Linked DNA regions of Saccharomyces cerevisiae S288C. Changing the gene in region 1 together with any one later gene gives a genetic interaction. Each region holds a gene or a part of one and is shown in the gene's direction. Other genes may lie near its edges. The genes, in order: CCR4, HEK2, PAN2 and SPT10.

Region 1 (4,973 bases):
TCAATCTTGTAAGACGTTCCCTGGCAGACTGTAAGTTAAAAGAGTTAGATTTGAAAACAGCCTGCACCAGAGTTTGAGAGAAATCGGGGAACTCTCTCGCAAGGTTAACCAGTGCTACCTCAGGACTCCCAGATGGGAGCGGCTTCGAAGTATGAGCTCCTTCGCTGGGATCTGAAGGCTTGAAAGTAAACCTGCTTCTCAAAGACGCCACACTTGCATCCGGAACTGTTGGCGAAGTAGGCTTTAAGGGAGACGACGATGCTACCTTGGTGGGAGAGGACGTCTCGGGCACTTGCACTACGTCATCCTCATCATTTGAATGCGAACCACTCATGTTTTCAACTATAGCGTATTTTCTCTCTTTTTCTTGTTTACGTTCCTTACTGTAGATAGTCGGGTGTCCACCAGTAGCAACAAACTCGAATATAGAGCACTATAGCACACGCCAGTACTGATTTAAGTTACGTGTTGCATTGCGAGATGGGCTCATGATCTCTTTTAATCCTACAAAGTGAAAAATTATGAAAAATTTCGCGGCGACGGGGGTAACGCAGCCGTTTGAGCCTTGATAATGCAGGCAGATCCAAAGCGCAAGTGATGGAATGTGATCATTAAAGGCTATAACAGGCTTGTATCGATGAGTTGTGTGTATGCGTTTGGGTCTAATGGGCAAAGGCAACTGGGACTGGGGCACGATGAGGATATGGATACCCCACAGAGGTCTGTGCCAGGAGATGATGGAGCAATAGTCAGGAAGATAGCGTGCGGTGGGAACCACAGCGTGATGCTGACAAATGACGGGAATCTGGTAGGATGTGGAGATAACAGACGGGGAGAACTGGATAGTGCGCAAGCACTGCGGCAGGTGCATGACTGGAGGCCCGTGGAAGTACCGGCACCCGTGGTGGATGTGGCGTGCGGCTGGGACACGACAGTTATTGTGGATGCTGATGGCCGTGTATGGCAGAGAGGAGGCGGTTGCTACGAGTTCACTCAGCAACATGTGCCATTGAATTCCAACGATGAGCGCATCGCAGTATACGGATGTTTCCAGAACTTTGTGGTGGTGCAAGGCACCCGAGTATACGGCTGGGGCAGCAACACAAAGTGTCAATTGCAAGAGCCCAAATCCCGATCACTGAAAGAGCCCGTATTGGTGTACGATACCGGGTCTGTGGCCGTAGACTACGTGGCCATGGGCAAGGACTTCATGGTCATAGTGGACGAGGGCGGCCGCATAGTGCACGCATCCGGTCGCCTGCCCACTGGGTTCGAGCTCAAACAACAGCAAAAAAGACACAATCTAGTGGTACTGTGCATGTGGACCTCGATCCACCTGTGGAATGCGCGCCTCAATACGGTAGAGTCGTTTGGTAGGGGCACACATTCCCAACTCTTCCCGCAAGAGCGCCTAGACTTCCCTATTGTCGGTGTTGCAACCGGGAGTGAGCACGGTATTCTAACTACTGCTAATCAAGAAGGCAAGTCTCACTGTTACAATGTATACTGCTGGGGCTGGGGAGAGCATGGCAACTGCGGCCCGCAAAAGGGCTCCCAGCCTGGACTGCAGCTCGTGGGCCAATACTCTGGAAAACCTCGCGTGTTTGGCGGATGTGCCACCACGTGGATCGTGCTCTAGCACTGATAAGTAACTATATACCCACTATCATATACATAGATGTCCATTCAGCATTAATTCTCATCGTGGTAGATCTCAAAGGTAAAGTAGCCGTTTAGGCCTTTTGTTATCGCCCGTACTTGCGAAAAACGGGCCAACAACGAAAAAATTTGAAAAAGTTTCCACCTTAGAGAAGGTTCTCAAGCACAAGGGCACAGCATAAGGGACACCAGCAAGGGAACTCCGACTGACGTTATCCCTGCAAACTACCGCTAATGAACGACCCTTCTTTACTAGGCTACCCTAATGTGGGCCCGCAGCAGCAACAGCAACAGCAGCAACAGCAGCATGCCGGGCTACTAGGAAAGGGTACACCAAACGCTCTACAGCAGCAGCTACACATGAACCAGCTCACCGGGATACCTCCACCGGGACTCATGAACAACAGCGATGTACACACTTCCAGCAACAACAACTCGCGCCAGTTGCTCGACCAATTGGCTAATGGGAACGCGAACATGCTCAATATGAACATGGATAACAACAATAACAACAATAACAACAACAACAACAACAACAACAACGGCGGTGGAAGCGGGGTGATGATGAATGCCTCCACAGCCGCAGTAAATTCTATAGGGATGGTTCCTACCGTTGGTACGCCTGTGAACATCAATGTGAACGCCAGTAACCCTTTATTACACCCGCACTTGGATGACCCTTCTTTACTAAACAATCCGATCTGGAAGCTTCAATTGCATCTGGCTGCAGTGTCCGCACAATCTCTGGGGCAACCCAACATTTATGCTAGACAAAACGCTATGAAGAAGTATTTGGCTACACAACAGGCTCAGCAAGCTCAGCAACAAGCGCAGCAACAGGCACAGCAGCAGGTCCCGGGCCCATTTGGCCCCGGACCTCAGGCTGCACCACCAGCTTTGCAGCCCACCGATTTCCAGCAATCTCACATTGCAGAAGCCTCCAAATCACTGGTAGACTGCACAAAGCAAGCCTTGATGGAAATGGCCGACACTCTCACCGACAGCAAGACAGCAAAGAAACAACAACCTACGGGAGATAGCACTCCCTCAGGCACGGCAACTAACAGTGCAGTTTCTACACCATTGACTCCCAAGATAGAGCTGTTTGCTAATGGCAAGGACGAAGCCAACCAGGCGCTCTTACAACACAAGAAACTGTCTCAGTACAGCATCGACGAAGATGACGACATTGAAAACAGAATGGTCATGCCCAAGGACTCGAAATACGACGACCAATTATGGCACGCGCTAGATTTGTCCAACTTGCAAATCTTCAATATCAGCGCCAACATCTTCAAGTACGATTTTCTAACGAGACTATATTTGAATGGCAATAGCCTCACGGAACTGCCAGCGGAGATCAAGAACCTAAGCAACCTACGCGTTTTGGACCTGTCGCATAATAGGTTAACATCTCTACCAGCGGAACTAGGCTCATGTTTCCAATTGAAATACTTCTACTTTTTTGATAACATGGTCACCACATTACCATGGGAGTTTGGGAACCTGTGTAACCTTCAGTTTCTTGGTGTAGAAGGAAACCCCTTAGAAAAACAGTTTTTAAAGATCCTTACAGAAAAATCTGTCACGGGATTGATTTTCTACCTAAGGGACAACAGACCAGAGATTCCCTTACCGCATGAACGTAGGTTCATCGAAATCAATACCGATGGGGAACCACAGAGGGAGTACGATTCTTTGCAGCAATCCACTGAGCATCTGGCCACCGATTTAGCCAAGAGGACGTTCACCGTCTTATCCTACAACACCTTATGTCAACACTATGCCACCCCAAAAATGTACCGTTACACACCGTCGTGGGCGTTAAGTTGGGATTACAGGCGCAATAAATTAAAGGAGCAGATTCTCTCGTACGACAGTGATCTGTTGTGTTTACAAGAAGTGGAGTCTAAGACTTTTGAAGAGTATTGGGTGCCCCTATTGGACAAGCACGGTTATACAGGCATCTTCCATGCAAAGGCAAGAGCCAAGACCATGCATTCCAAGGACTCCAAGAAAGTGGACGGGTGTTGCATTTTTTTCAAAAGGGACCAATTCAAGTTGATCACCAAAGACGCCATGGATTTCAGCGGTGCTTGGATGAAACACAAGAAGTTCCAAAGAACTGAAGATTATTTAAACCGTGCAATGAACAAAGACAACGTTGCACTGTTCTTAAAGCTACAACACATTCCTAGTGGCGACACCATATGGGCGGTCACCACGCATTTGCACTGGGATCCAAAATTTAATGATGTCAAGACATTCCAAGTAGGTGTCCTGTTAGATCATCTGGAAACGCTGCTAAAGGAGGAGACATCGCACAATTTTAGACAGGACATTAAGAAATTTCCTGTGCTCATTTGTGGTGACTTCAATTCATACATCAACTCCGCCGTATACGAATTGATAAATACAGGCCGTGTCCAAATACATCAAGAGGGAAATGGTAGAGATTTCGGTTACATGTCGGAGAAAAATTTCTCACATAACTTGGCTCTCAAATCAAGTTATAATTGTATCGGAGAACTACCATTCACCAATTTCACACCGTCATTCACAGATGTTATCGACTATATATGGTTTTCTACACATGCTCTAAGGGTGCGTGGGCTATTGGGTGAAGTGGACCCTGAATACGTGAGTAAGTTTATCGGGTTCCCCAACGACAAATTCCCCAGTGACCATATACCATTGTTAGCAAGATTTGAATTTATGAAGACAAACACAGGCAGTAAGAAAGTATAAACCGCACACTTTCATCCCACTCCCTCCCTCCTCTCTGTACACTACCTCATTATAAAATTGAAACGATCCCAATCTCACCGCACTTCCCATAAAGCCTTCACGTTATACTTTTTTTTCTCATCTTTTTTTTCTCTCTCTCTCTCTCTCTCTTTTGCGTATCTTTTTCGTCCTGTTTCTTTCTTACTTAAGTATCTTTTTATAATATTTAAGAGAGCCAAAATTATTTAACCAAACCAAGAATCTTGTATTCTATAACGAATCCTTAATTCTTCTTGTTGTTATTAATGCCAAAAACAGAATTAATTTCCCGAAAAAGAAAAAAAAATTGACTTAAAAAATCATAGGAAAGGATGAATGATTTACGTTACGGCGACAGCTTATCATCAAACGCAAGAAAGCATACCAGATTGCAAAAATGAGTACTAGTGCGGACACTGATACCATCAAGAAGCCAATCCTTGCGGTGCCAGAGCCTGCACTGGCCGATACGCATTCAGAGGAGATATCACGCTCTGGAGAAGAACATGAATCAGAGAACAACGAGCACTCAGATGAAGAAGGCGATA
Region 2 (3,303 bases), on another chromosome or scaffold:
CATTAAAATAACATGGTATTTTCGTTTCATTACAAAAAAAGCACTATATGTACTAATAATTATGCTACACTTGTGTTTATATTGCCAGCGTCGATGTTGATGACAACGCAGAGTTCATACGGTTTTGGTTTTGGGCTTCACTTGTCTCAGTAGGTTGAGGGTTTGTATGAAGTTTCAGAGGCTCCGTTAGTAAATGACCCATTCTTTCTATCTTGGTCCTGAGATAACCTTCTATCTCCTTGGAGTCTATGCCTTCACTGGAGTTTGTCCAGTGTATGGGTACCATAGGCACTCGTTCAACGCACTTAAGGTAAGGCGCATGATCTACCTGTTTTATCTTTTCCGGGTTATTTGTCAGCAGCCTGACATTACCGATGCCAAGATCCAGCAAAATAGCCTTACCCAGCGAGAAGTCCCTAGCATCCACGGGATGTTTCAGCATTAAGTTGGCCTGCACTGTGTCAGCACCTAAGTCTTGCAGGTTGTAGGCCTTGAGTTTCTCACCTAACCCGATGCCACGACCCTCTTGTCTTAGATACACGATAACACCATGGCCGTTTCCACCTTTGATGTTGCTTGTGGGTTCGTGGTCGCAAGCGATAAGCCTACCGGCCCTATCGAATTGTTCACCACAATCACAACGGGCGCTCCATGCGTTTTCACCGGTGTAACATTCAGAATGGATCCGTACCAGCGTGTCGTTATGGGCGTCCCATGTAGTGGCTTTGGAAGCTAATAACTCACCTGTACTATCATCAAACTCCAGAGCTAATCCGAGTCTATCGTCTTCGTCTGCCACAGTTCTGCCGGGATACAGTTTGCCAATATAAGCGCCCCTGATCATTCTATCTTGTTGCGTCTCGCACTGTCTTCTACGGAATAGCGAGCGCGACCGTATGTCTTCACCAAACACAATGGCTAGATGTTCCTTGTTGTCCCTGTTGTTACTGTAAAGATGTAAAAAGATATCCGGACCCTGTGTGGTTGGGATACGAGCTCTTGCGACACATTGTACTAGAGGCAAGCCGCCATCGCCGTTCCTGCCATCACCCGTACCACTAACCTCGTATTTGCTGCTATCCTGTTTACTGTTGTCGTAGTTATCTATGGTCATCCTGTAGGTTTGTTGTAGTTTTATGTACGCCACTTTTTGTAATGACTCAATTATTGTCCACGCCAGCACAGCAACTTCTTTATATATACTATAGCGGCGCTGGCGCTCACCCCACAAGAGCGTCCGACTAATTTCTGACAAATCGTAAAAAGAAAAAGAAAAACTCAAAGGAAAAAGAAAAAGTCTCACCCTACACAACTTGTTTTCAAAAACGGTATAGACCCTACTATTTCTGTTTTAGCCCTATGCTAAGTCTAGACATTACCCTATCCCTTTTAACGAAAGCCCTTTTGTTTTTTTTCTGTGTGTCCGGCCGCTCAGCCAAACAACAAACAAGACTATAATCTGGAGCATAAGTACCCGAGCATATATAACTACTTGGCATACGAAGTAAAAGCATATTGCTCCCCACTCCTATCGCGCGTCCCCTGTACAACAAAGCATCAACTTATCGGGTAACTTAGAGACAGCATTAGTATATATACCAGCCATGTCACAGTTCTTCGAAGCTGCTACTCCCGTTGCAATTCCCACAAACAATACCAACGGCGGCTCCAGTGATGCCGGCAGCGCCGCCACTGGCGGCGCCCCCGTTGTTGGCACCACCGCTCAACCCACCATCAATCACAGGCTTTTGCTGTCATTGAAAGAGGCTGCCAAGATCATTGGCACTAAGGGCTCCACCATCTCACGCATAAGAGCTGCAAACGCCGTCAAGATCGGTATTTCTGAAAAGGTGCCCGGTTGCTCTGACAGGATCCTGTCCTGTGCTGGGAACGTAATCAATGTGGCCAATGCCATTGGTGATATTGTTGACGTGCTTAACAAACGGAATCCCGAAAATGAGGACGCAGCTGAGGGCGAAGCGGAAGAGCACTACTACTTCCACTTTTTGAACCATATTTTACCAGCTCCCTCAAAGGACGAGATCAGAGATCTGCAGCAACTGGAGGACATCGGTTATGTGAGGCTCATTGTGGCCAATTCCCATATCTCATCGATTATCGGGAAAGCAGGCGCCACCATCAAGTCCCTGATCAATAAGCACGGCGTTAAGATCGTGGCTTCCAAGGACTTCTTACCTGCTAGCGACGAGAGAATTATCGAGATCCAGGGTTTCCCAGGATCCATCACCAATGTACTTATCGAAATTAGCGAGATCATCTTGAGTGACGTTGACGTCAGATTCAGCACAGAAAGATCTTATTTCCCTCATCTGAAAAAGTCCTCCGGTGAGCCAACTTCCCCTTCTACCTCATCTAACACTAGGATCGAATTGAAGATTCCAGAACTGTATGTAGGCGCCATTATTGGCCGTGGAATGAACAGAATTAAGAATTTGAAAACTTTCACAAAAACCAATATTGTCGTGGAAAGGAAGGATGACGATGATAAAGACGAAAATTTTAGAAAATTCATAATCACAAGTAAATTTCCTAAGAATGTCAAACTTGCTGAGTCCATGCTTTTGAAGAACCTGAATACTGAAATTGAGAAACGTGAAAACTACAAGAGAAAATTGGAAGCTGCCGAAGGAGATGCCACTGTTGTTACTGAACGCTCTGATTCTGCTTCTTTCTTGGAAGAGAAGGAAGAACCTCAAGAGAATCATGATAACAAAGAGGAGCAGTCGTAGTATATACGTGTGCGTGCGCACGTCCCACACAGACAAAACAAACTATCATCTTAACGAATAATGTTGCATCATTACTAGTTTAAACTGTATTTTTATTAAAGGGAAAAAAATGATTCAATATGTATATATTTATTCATGTATATGTATTTTGAATTAAAAAAAAACGTTTTATAAATACTCAATAAAGCCGTTGTATTTTCTTTATTACTATCGAAATTCTTGCTTTAAACATTTCGCGCATCGCCGGCTAGAGGCACAGAGAGGGAAGGGGAAAATAACATGAAAAAATCGTAAGTTTCTAGGCAATGGTATAAACAAATAAACAATAAACATGCAATTACAGCTCTAGAACACATATTATCTTCATGGATGAATGATAAACTCCAAGAAGAGCATAACGAAAAAGACACCACTTCACAAATTAATGGTTTCACGCCGCCGCATATGAGTATAGACTTTCATTCAAATAACAATAGCAATATCATCGAGACTATTGGCGTTTCCAAAAGATTAGGAAATTCTGTATTAAGTGAACTGGATTCTAGAGCTAGCT
Region 3 (5,689 bases), on another chromosome or scaffold:
TCTATCAGTTTGGTATCTAAAAACCCTACCCCCACTTCATTTATAAATTCCCGCAAAGTGTAGTCTTGAGTAGGCAGGGCTATACCAGACTGCCCTTCCTTGTCTATTTCGGGGAGTCTTGTTTTCTCAACTATTTTGTTCCCGTTATCATCGACATTTTCCCCATCTTCTTCATCGTCTGTCGCGGTTTGCATGCCAGTATCCTCAGTACCGGGTTCAATAGTGAACACATCATTGGATCTCGTCCCAATCTTATTATCAACATCGCTAAATGTAATGGGTGACATTTTCTCCATCATCTCTAAATCACCATCATTGTCCTCTCCACTAGTATCCTTTGCCTCTTTGACTGGTGTCGTAACCGATGCAGCATAATCAGAGACAGTATCCAATTTGCGCCTCTTATTAGAAGAAAACGCATGCTTTTCGCTGGGAGATTCGTCAATGTGGTGATTGTCGCGGTCAAAGTTTGTCTGTATTTGCGTGAGTTCCATCTCATTACCATCATTATTGATGTTATTGTCGCTGTGTAGACTCATAGGGTTCTGTGGATCAGCATGGAATATATCTGTAATTTCCATCGGCTGAGAGGAATTCGTCTTATTTTCAGATTTTGAAAGGTCGCTTTTATCGTTACTTCTTTCCACGCTATAGTCAGAGGATTTCCCGGTACTGCGTGAGACACTGTTTGGAACGTAAGGTTTAGACTCATATTCTGTCAGATCTATTGGTTCGCCCTCTACTGTATCTTTTGAAATTGAATCATAGTCGTGTACATTATGTATGGCCGTCAATTCCATTGTTTCCTCTCGCACTGCCTCGACATCATCGATTTGTTGACTTGACTCAATGCTTTCTCCCTCTACATCTGGATTTTTCTGTCTGATACTCCGAGGAAAAACTTCAGTCATTTCCATTGATGTGGGATCATGCTGTGAAGCCTTGTTACTATCCGGTGTCGCCACTATAGGTTCTGTCAATTCCATCCCAGATGTATCGGGATCTTCTTCTGCCGCTGTTTTTTCTTCCGTACGAGCATCATCGATTTGAGTAGACGTTACAAGAGGCTCTTCTTGACTAGATATTTTAGTAGGGCTGTTGGTTGAAGTTTTTCTACGTCTTGGTTCCTTAATTTCATTGTTTTGTTCAGGTACGAAAGTAAAACTATGCAACGTAACATCGGGAGCGAATGAAACTCTTCTCTTTACCATACTCTGTAAATTAGAAGTATTGATCCTGGATGTCGTGTTACTACCATCTAATACTTCTTTTTTTGTTATAATCCTGGTAGGAATACGAACACCAGGGTTCTCTAGAAAGCTTGAAGTCATTTGCGAGCTTTGGTTCTGCTTAAGAATGCCTTTCCCGGGCCCCGCATCCTTCTCTCTACCCCCAATCCGGCTTCTTTCATCCACATTCATTGTCAGCCCACTTAGATATCACAAGGGACGTCGTAATCACGGTTACTAAGTACTTAATCACTGAGTGTAGTGTCTAATTAGCCTTTGTTTTGTTATGTGTTTATCTATTTGTATTAAAACGGGGCGGGTGGCGCCTTCTCTTTCGCGTATTGTTTTTTTCAATGAGAGAATAACGAAAAAGAAACATGCTTTTAACGTTAGCATATATAGGAAATAACGTACTATGTGGGCATAGAGGAACACAAGAAATAGAATCTCCAAGAGACACATCATTACCATATAATACACGTTCATTTTAACTAGAATTTTTACATTCTGAAAATTTTTTTATTTGCTTATTTTTTGTTTTGAACTGCATTACACCCTAAGAGATTACTAGAACACAATTGCTATACTGAGTTTCTGAATGGTGAATGTATTATGAATAATTGGCAACATTTCTTCAACAATCCAGTTGATCTTTCGGAACATTTGAAGAAGCCATACTTTCGCTTCGATAATAGGGATAAGGAAATTACAGCGATTAGCTTCGATGAGAAGGCAAACTTAATTTGGAGTGGAGACAGCTATGGTTGCATTTCGTCATATGATCCAACTTTTCAACTTTATACAAGATATAGGGGCCACATAGGTGGAAATTCCGTGAAGGATATTCTCAGTCATCGGGATGGTATTTTATCTATTAGTGAAGATTCCTTACACTTTGCTAATAGAAGAGGTGTTACTAAATTGAACCTCACTAGCATTGATATTGCTGCATTTAGCGAATTGAACACTATGTGCTATTCTCCTCATTCACTGAAAAACAATATCTACTGTGGTGGTGACAACACAAATTGGGGAATTGCGTCCATTGACTTGAACAGAGGTTGCTTAGATTCCCTCTTGAATTACTCATCTAAAGTGAAGTTAATGTGCTCTAATAATAAAGTTTTGTCTATCGGAAGACAAACAGGGACTGTGGATTTGCTAGATCCAACATCGAATCGTACTATCAAATCATTTAATGCACACTCTGCATCCATATCCGCTATGGATTTACGGGATAACACCTTGGTTACAGTAGGGAAGTCCAAAAGATTTTATAACTTATACGCTGACCCATTTGTGAATGTTTACGACTTGAGAACAATGCGTCAACTCCCTCCTGTTTCCTTTTCTAAAGGAACAACTATGGGATCTGGAGGCGCAGATTTTGTTCAATTACATCCTTTGCTTCCTACTGTTATGATCGTCGCCTCAAGTTCTGGTTCGTTTGATTTCATCGACCTTTCCAATCCAACTTTAAGAACACAATATGTTCATCCTTGCCAGTCGATTAAAAAGTTATGTTTGTCCCCCAATGGTGACGTATTGGGTATACTAGAAGCTGATAATCACCTAGATACATGGAGAAGATCATCAAACAACATGGGAATGTTTACCAATACCCCTGAAATGCTAGCATATCCTGATTATTTTAATGACATTACCTCTGACGGCCCAATATCTGTCGACGATGAAACATATCCATTGAGTTCTGTGGGGATGCCGTACTATCTTGATAAACTTTTGTCTGCATGGCCCCCTGTAGTGTTTAAAAGTGAAGGTACCATACCGCAATTAACAGGTAAGTCACCCTTACCATCGAGCGGCAAATTAAAAAGTAACCTTGCTGTGATCTCGAGCCAAAATGAGAAGTTGAGCACACAAGAATTTCCTTTGTTAAGATATGATCGCACCAAATACGGTATGAGAAATGCTATACCAGATTACGTTTGTCTAAGAGATATAAGGAAACAGATAACAAGCGGTTTAGAAACCAGCGATATACAGACATATACCTCAATCAACAAGTACGAAGTACCCCCTGCATACAGTAGACTTCCACTGACATCAGGTAGATTTGGTACTGATAATTTTGATTTTACGCCCTTTAATAACACTGAGTATTCAGGATTGGATCCAGATGTTGATAATCACTACACAAATGCTATCATACAATTGTATCGCTTTATTCCAGAAATGTTTAATTTCGTTGTTGGGTGTTTGAAAGACGAGAATTTTGAAACAACGTTGCTAACTGATCTAGGCTACCTCTTTGACATGATGGAAAGATCACATGGAAAAATATGTAGTTCTTCCAATTTTCAGGCGTCATTGAAATCCTTAACTGATAAAAGACAATTAGAAAACGGTGAACCACAAGAACATTTAGAAGAGTATTTAGAATCGCTGTGCATAAGGGAAAGTATCGAGGATTTTAATTCTTCTGAAAGTATTAAACGCAATATGCCTCAAAAATTTAACAGATTCCTGCTCTCGCAACTTATTAAAGAGGAAGCGCAGACAGTCAACCATAATATCACCCTAAATCAATGCTTTGGTTTGGAAACGGAAATACGAACAGAGTGTAGCTGTGATCACTACGACACTACCGTCAAACTTCTACCCTCCTTATCAATATCAGGAATCAACAAAACCGTAATCAAACAATTGAACAAGAAAAGCAATGGACAGAATATTTTGCCTTATATTGAATATGCCATGAAAAATGTAACCCAAAAGAACAGTATTTGCCCAACCTGCGGCAAAACCGAAACTATCACCCAGGAGTGTACTGTCAAGAATTTACCTTCAGTGTTGTCATTAGAATTATCACTATTAGATACCGAATTTTCCAATATAAGGTCGTCGAAAAACTGGTTAACTAGTGAATTTTATGGAAGCATCATTAAAAACAAGGCAGTTCTAAGATCGACGGCGTCCGAATTGAAGGGCACAAGCCACATATTTAAATACGAATTGAATGGTTACGTGGCTAAAATCACTGATAACAATAACGAGACGCGTCTAGTAACATATGTCAAAAAATATAATCCAAAAGAGAATTGCTTCAAGTGGCTCATGTTTAATGATTATTTGGTTGTTGAGATAACAGAGGAAGAGGCGCTTAAAATGACATACCCTTGGAAAACACCAGAAATTATCATATATTGTGATGCGGAAGAATTACGAAAACCTTTCTTTTCTGTTGATACGTATTCCATCAACTATGACATACTTTTCCGTGATTATTTCGCAAACGGAATAAGAGATACTGCAAGACGTGAATATAAGTTATTAACACATGATGAGGCACCTAAATCTGGAACCTTGGTTGCCATTGATGCCGAATTTGTCTCATTACAAAGTGAACTATGTGAAATCGATCATCAAGGAATCAGAAGTATTATTCGACCTAAAAGAACTGCTTTGGCCAGAATATCCATTATTAGAGGCGAAGAAGGAGAACTGTATGGAGTACCATTTGTCGATGATTATGTGGTAAACACGAACCACATAGAAGACTATTTGACAAGATATAGTGGGATTCTTCCTGGTGACTTGGACCCTGAAAAGAGTACCAAAAGGCTTGTGAGAAGAAACGTTGTATATCGAAAAGTCTGGCTTTTAATGCAGCTCGGATGCGTATTTGTTGGTCATGGTTTGAATAATGACTTCAAACACATTAATATTAATGTCCCAAGAAACCAAATTCGCGACACTGCCATATATTTTCTACAAGGAAAGAGATATCTTTCATTGCGTTATCTGGCATATGTGTTGTTAGGAATGAATATCCAAGAGGGAAATCACGATTCAATTGAAGATGCCCATACTGCCTTGATTCTTTACAAAAAATATCTCCACCTGAAAGAAAAAGCTATCTTTGAGAAAGTACTGAACAGCGTGTACGAAGAAGGAAGAGCCCATAATTTCAAAGTTCCAGAAACTTCAAAGGGATAATATGGTGCAGTGCCTTTCACGTAATCTCAAGAGCCACCAGCGCACCACTGGTTGGAAAAGTATACAAAAAATTCAAAAAAATTATAAAATGTTACCGGTGTTTGTGTACTATTATATATACTGTAATCAACATATGCAAACATTTTGAAACAGGTCTTGTTAAACCTTTTTGTCATCACACGCCAGAATTAGACTTCTTTGTGCGATGAAGTAATATCTATTACCAGAAAAGAAGGTCTTACCCTTGTTTGGCCTCTCATATGTTTCCTACTTGTTTCCCGGGCGTCCGTAACGAGTACTGACTGTATGGCGAAAAGTTGCCAGAAATGTTCATTTTTGTTTCTGCCAATTTCAGGAAAGGGTAACGTCATTACAGTTAGTTAACGTTCGAACTTACTTATAGAAGTGCCTTGGCTCATATGCAATGTACCCAGAGTAACATTAAGGAGTGAAGAGGTACAGTGACTTGGTTTTGAGTTAAGGCCATCTTTTACTGTATA
Region 4 (4,355 bases), on another chromosome or scaffold:
GTTTTTAGATCTGCCGGCTCCCTGGGATGCTATACCTCATCTGGATTCTGTTATTTCCGTAGACGAAAAGGTCGGATTGTGTTGCTTCTCCCCATGCATTGAGCAAGTAGACAAAACATTGGATGTATTAGAGAAATATGGCTGGACGGATGTTGAAATGGTGGAAATTCAAGGTAGACAGTACGAAAGTCGAAGACAAATGGTCAGATCACTCAATGATGCCCTGGAAAGGTTGAGAGATATTAAGAGGCACAAACTCCAGGGTGTAGAAAGACGCAAGCGGATGTTTAACAATACAATAGATTCTAACGATGAAAAAGTTGGAAAAAGAAACGAGGATGGCGTACCATTAACAGAAAAGGCCAAATTTAATCCTTTTGGCAAAGGTTCTCGAATCAAGGAAGGTGATAGTAATTATAAATGGAAGGAGGTCACAAAGATGGAAGCTGAGATCAAATCCCATACCTCATATTTGACTTTTGCATTTAAAGTTGTGAATAGATCAAGAGATGATGAAAAAGTTAACGAAATTCTTCGATCCACGGAAAAATAATTAAATGATTAACTACTTATATACTTAAATTATATGTTTTTGAAATTTTTAATATGTAAAGCAAATCTGTACGAATAAAGGCTTTTTTCATATTTTATTTGCCTCAATGAAATAAATCGTCTCTTCTCTGGTTCCATAAGGGCATTTTGTTCCTTATTTCTTGCAAAAGCTCACGATCCAAATCAGCGAGAATTAGTTGTGGTCCAACAGTAGAGGGATCGGCATGCGCTATTATTTTACCCCAAGGATCAATGACCATTGAGTGTCCCCAAGATTCTCTCCTGGAGCTTTTTTCGAGAGCGCTCATATGTGATTGTTTCTCCCACTCTGGATCACTGAGATCGTGCATTCCAACCTGCCCTGGCATGAGCACATAGCATTGAGTGTCAACCGCTCTTGCTCTGCCTAGTAACTCCCAATGTGCTTCCCCTGTTTTAATAGTGAACGCACTGGGAAAACATAAGATTTCAGCCCCCATTGATCGTAATTTCAAAGAAAATTCGGGAAAGCGAATATCATAACAAATGGCACTGCCCAATTTTCCCAATGGAGACTCTATAATGTCAGGAATGGCTTTGCCAGGCTGGACAGATTTTGATTCTTTCAATATCGGTCCATTTGGCACGTCTACGTCAAACAAATGCAGTTTTTGGTATTCTTGCAATATTTTCCCTTCATGATCGATATATAATAGAACGTTTCTGACTCGATCATTGCCTTCAAGTAAATCTTGTTCTGAGGGCGGCAAGTGTACCCCAATGGAAACATCTATATTCCGTGAATTATCTCTGACAAGGTCGGTAATGCTTGACTGTAATTGCCGAATAAATTTGGGGCTTTTCTGTGCCAAATACCTGGAATGAAGAGGGTTTTGAGAAAGATAGTCACTTGCCTCAGGGAGAAAAACGACATCCGCCTTTTTTTGAATGGCTTCAGATATCAATTCTTTTACCACTTTTAAGTTTTTGGTCAGGTCAGCGGATGAACATAATTGTGCGACAGCAACCCGTTTTAATTTACTAGTCATTTGCGGTGTTATATTTTATGAAGGAGACTTCATGATGGGTATGAATTTTATTTCACCTCTATTCATTTACTTCTAATGGCCTAGAATCTAGTAAGCTCTGAAAATTCGAGATGCGGATCGTGAGCTAAAATAATAAAAAAATGAAAAATATAAAAGAGCAAAATTCATTACATTGGCGTTAGTTCACTGCTCGGGGGATGAGTAAAAAGTGTACCGATCAAGAACAACTCTAGACTTCCGCCAAAGTGATTATCAACAAAAATCGTAATAATTAGCTTCAATGCTAAATCAGCACACAAGTTCAGTACCGGATGACGAACATCTGCAGATGGCACACCAAAATAGCAGTTCAGAAGTGAGAAATGAGGCAGCGGTCCCAGATCAACTTTTGACTCCTTTACAACCGTATACCATTTTATTGAAAGATGGAGAAACAATAGCTACGATGTATCCTATACCTGCGTATCCTGATTTATTGCCGCTAGGGCTCTTAAATTTCCTTCTAGATGAATTTAACATGGAAGTGGAAAAGGGAGATAGTTTTCCTTATTACGAGACTTTATCACTAGAAGAATTCAAAAATGTCTGGTTTCATAATGATGGTCACGTTTGTATTATGGTGTTAGGCGAAATACCAGAACTGGATTATAGTATGGATACTGAAGCGGACACAAATGATAATTTTGGAACAGAAATAGAAACCACGAAGCACACCACCCAATATAAGAAACGAAAAGAACGTCGCAATTTAAATCTAAGTATGCAGTGGGAGAAGCAATGTCTAGGCATATTTGACCTCAAACCAGCATACCCTGGACGGTCAGCGCATGTGGTCACAGGAACATTTCTGGTCAATGCTGGTATTCGTGGAAAAGGTATTGGGAAAACACTAATGGAAACATTCATAGAATGGTCAAAGAAATTAGGATTTACGTCCTCCTTTTTCCCGTTAATTTACGGAACGAACGTAGGAATCAGAAGAATTTTGGAAGGATTGAACTTTAGGCGGATTGGAAAGCTGCCTGAAGCCGGGATTCTCAAGGGCTTTGATGTCCCAGTAGATTCTTTCATGTATGGTAAAGAGTTCACACATATTACGAAAAGTATAGATTTGTTACGAGATCCTCAAAAGAGTATCGAAATTGGGAAATATGAACGATTAAAGCATTTTCTGGAAACAGGCAAGTATCCTTTACATTGTGATAGAAACGAAAAGGCTAGATTAAGAGTACTTTCCAAAACTCATTCGGTATTGAATGGCAAGTTGATGACAAAAGGAAAAGAAATCATTTATGACACGGATCAACAAATCCAGATTGCATTAGAGATACATTTAATGGAACATTTAGGCATCAACAAGGTGACCTCCAAAATTGGTGAAAAATACCATTGGAGAGGAATCAAGAGTACTGTTTCGGAGGTAATCTCTCGGTGCCAAAAATGCAAGATGAGGTACAAAGACGGGACAGGGGTAATAATTGAACAAAAGAGAGCAGTTAAGCAGGCGCATATGCTACCGACGCAGCATATAGAAACTATCAACAATCCAAGAAAAAGCAAGAAGCATGATAATGCGTTATTGGGACAGGCAATAAATTTCCCTCAAAATATTATTTCCAGTACGCTGAATGATGTGGAGGGTGAACCCACTCCGCCAGACACTAATATCGTACAACCCACATTCCAGAACGCCACGAATAGTCCCGCAACAACAGCTGAAGCCAACGAAGCGAATAAAAGATCCGAGTTTCTTTCCTCAATACAGAGCACGCCACTATTGGACGACGAACAGTCAATGAATTCCTTCAATAGATTCGTGGAGGAAGAAAACTCAAGAAAAAGACGAAAATACTTGGATGTTGCCTCCAACGGAATTGTACCCCATTTAACGAATAACGAATCGCAGGATCACGCGAACCCCGTCAACCGTGATGAACGAGATATGAACCATTCAGTTCCCGATTTAGATAGAAATGACCATACTATAATGAACGATGCTATGTTGAGCCTCGAAGATAACGTCATGGCCGCTCTAGAAATGGTCCAAAAGGAACAACAACAGAAGATAAATCATCGAGGTGAAGATGTGACTGGCCAACAAATCGATTTGAACAACAGTGAAGGTAATGAGAATTCAGTCACTAAGATTGTTAACAACGAATCTAATACATTTACAGAGCACAATTCTAATATTTATTATTAAATTGCGACTCTGCCAGAGACGGTCACATCACCAACCCTAGAAACTATAAAGTTTGTACAGAAAAAAGGTACATTTAATGATGCGTCCACTTTTGGAACAGGGTTGACAAGTCTTAAATCTTATTTCAGAAGTGATTTTTGAAGTAAAATTGGAAACTGAAATTGGAAACAAGGCACTCAACTCAATTATGCTTGCATGACGAAAGGTTCTGTTACAGTTTTACGTTGAAACCTAGGTACTGCAGAAATCCATAATCGGAGATAAATAACTAAGCTTTGTGCTGCAAAATTTTCCAGATTAGGAAACCTGATCCTCAGTGCCCTTTTAAGTACTGCTGTATCTGATGCCGTGAACGAGACACTATTGGCTGCGTGGGCACGTACCAAGTATACTCATCAAAATTTGTCTTAGGTTTTCCGATGCGGAAAATGGCAGCGCACAATTTAAATAGAAAAGGAGTTAAATGTACAGCAGCAAAATCAGTCACTCACGGAGAAAAGCTACGGTAGCGTAACGAAGAGCACATTGCTACTAGCAGCCAGCTAGATAATTGCAGCAGTGTACAGTTTACG

The links.
Region 2: mutations in CCR4 (region 1) and HEK2 impair growth when combined (synthetic growth defect), as found in Saccharomyces cerevisiae (4 studies listed by BioGRID, with this or other methods).
Region 3: mutations in CCR4 (region 1) and PAN2 impair growth when combined (synthetic growth defect), as found in Saccharomyces cerevisiae (5 studies listed by BioGRID, with this or other methods).
Region 4: of CCR4 (region 1) and SPT10, a mutation in one rescues a mutant of the other (synthetic rescue), as found in Saccharomyces cerevisiae (3 studies listed by BioGRID).

Annotation. Positions count from the first base shown.
Region 1 is NC_001133.9:110,280-115,252, reverse strand, and holds CCR4 (CCR4-NOT core exoribonuclease subunit CCR4), read left to right. Parts: upstream 1-1,893; coding exon 1,894-4,407; downstream 4,408-4,973. Other genes in the region: DNA-dependent ATPase FUN30, read right to left, coding at 1-334; ATS1 (Ats1p), read left to right, coding at 638-1,639; nucleoside transmembrane transporter FUN26, read left to right, coding at 4,823-4,973. UniProt on the Saccharomyces cerevisiae protein: Acts as a catalytic component of the CCR4-NOT core complex, which in the nucleus seems to be a general transcription factor, and in the cytoplasm the major mRNA deadenylase involved in mRNA turnover.
Region 2 is NC_001134.8:158,580-161,882, forward strand, and holds HEK2 (Hek2p), read left to right. Parts: upstream 1-1,604; coding exon 1,605-2,750; downstream 2,751-3,303. Other genes in the region: RIB1 (GTP cyclohydrolase II), read right to left, coding at 77-1,114; SHE1 (She1p), read left to right, coding at 3,120-3,303. UniProt on the Saccharomyces cerevisiae protein: RNA-binding protein involved in the correct localization of transcripts in the cell. RNA localization is a widespread mechanism for achieving localized protein synthesis.
Region 3 is NC_001139.9:330,618-336,306, reverse strand, and holds PAN2 (poly(A)-specific ribonuclease), read left to right. Parts: upstream 1-1,841; coding exon 1,842-5,189; downstream 5,190-5,689. Other genes in the region: kinetochore-microtubule binding complex subunit SPC105, read right to left, coding at 1-1,421. UniProt on the Saccharomyces cerevisiae protein: Catalytic subunit of the poly(A)-nuclease (PAN) deadenylation complex, one of two cytoplasmic mRNA deadenylases involved in mRNA turnover. PAN specifically shortens poly(A) tails of RNA and the activity is stimulated by poly(A)-binding protein PAB1.
Region 4 is NC_001142.9:181,726-186,080, reverse strand, and holds SPT10 (Spt10p), read left to right. Parts: upstream 1-1,860; coding exon 1,861-3,783; downstream 3,784-4,355. Other genes in the region: tRNA 1-methyladenosine methyltransferase subunit GCD14, read left to right, coding at 1-553; NIT2 (putative hydrolase), read right to left, coding at 657-1,580. UniProt on the Saccharomyces cerevisiae protein: Required for normal transcription at a number of loci in yeast. Affects transcription at Ty1 elements, at PHO5, STE6 and ADH2.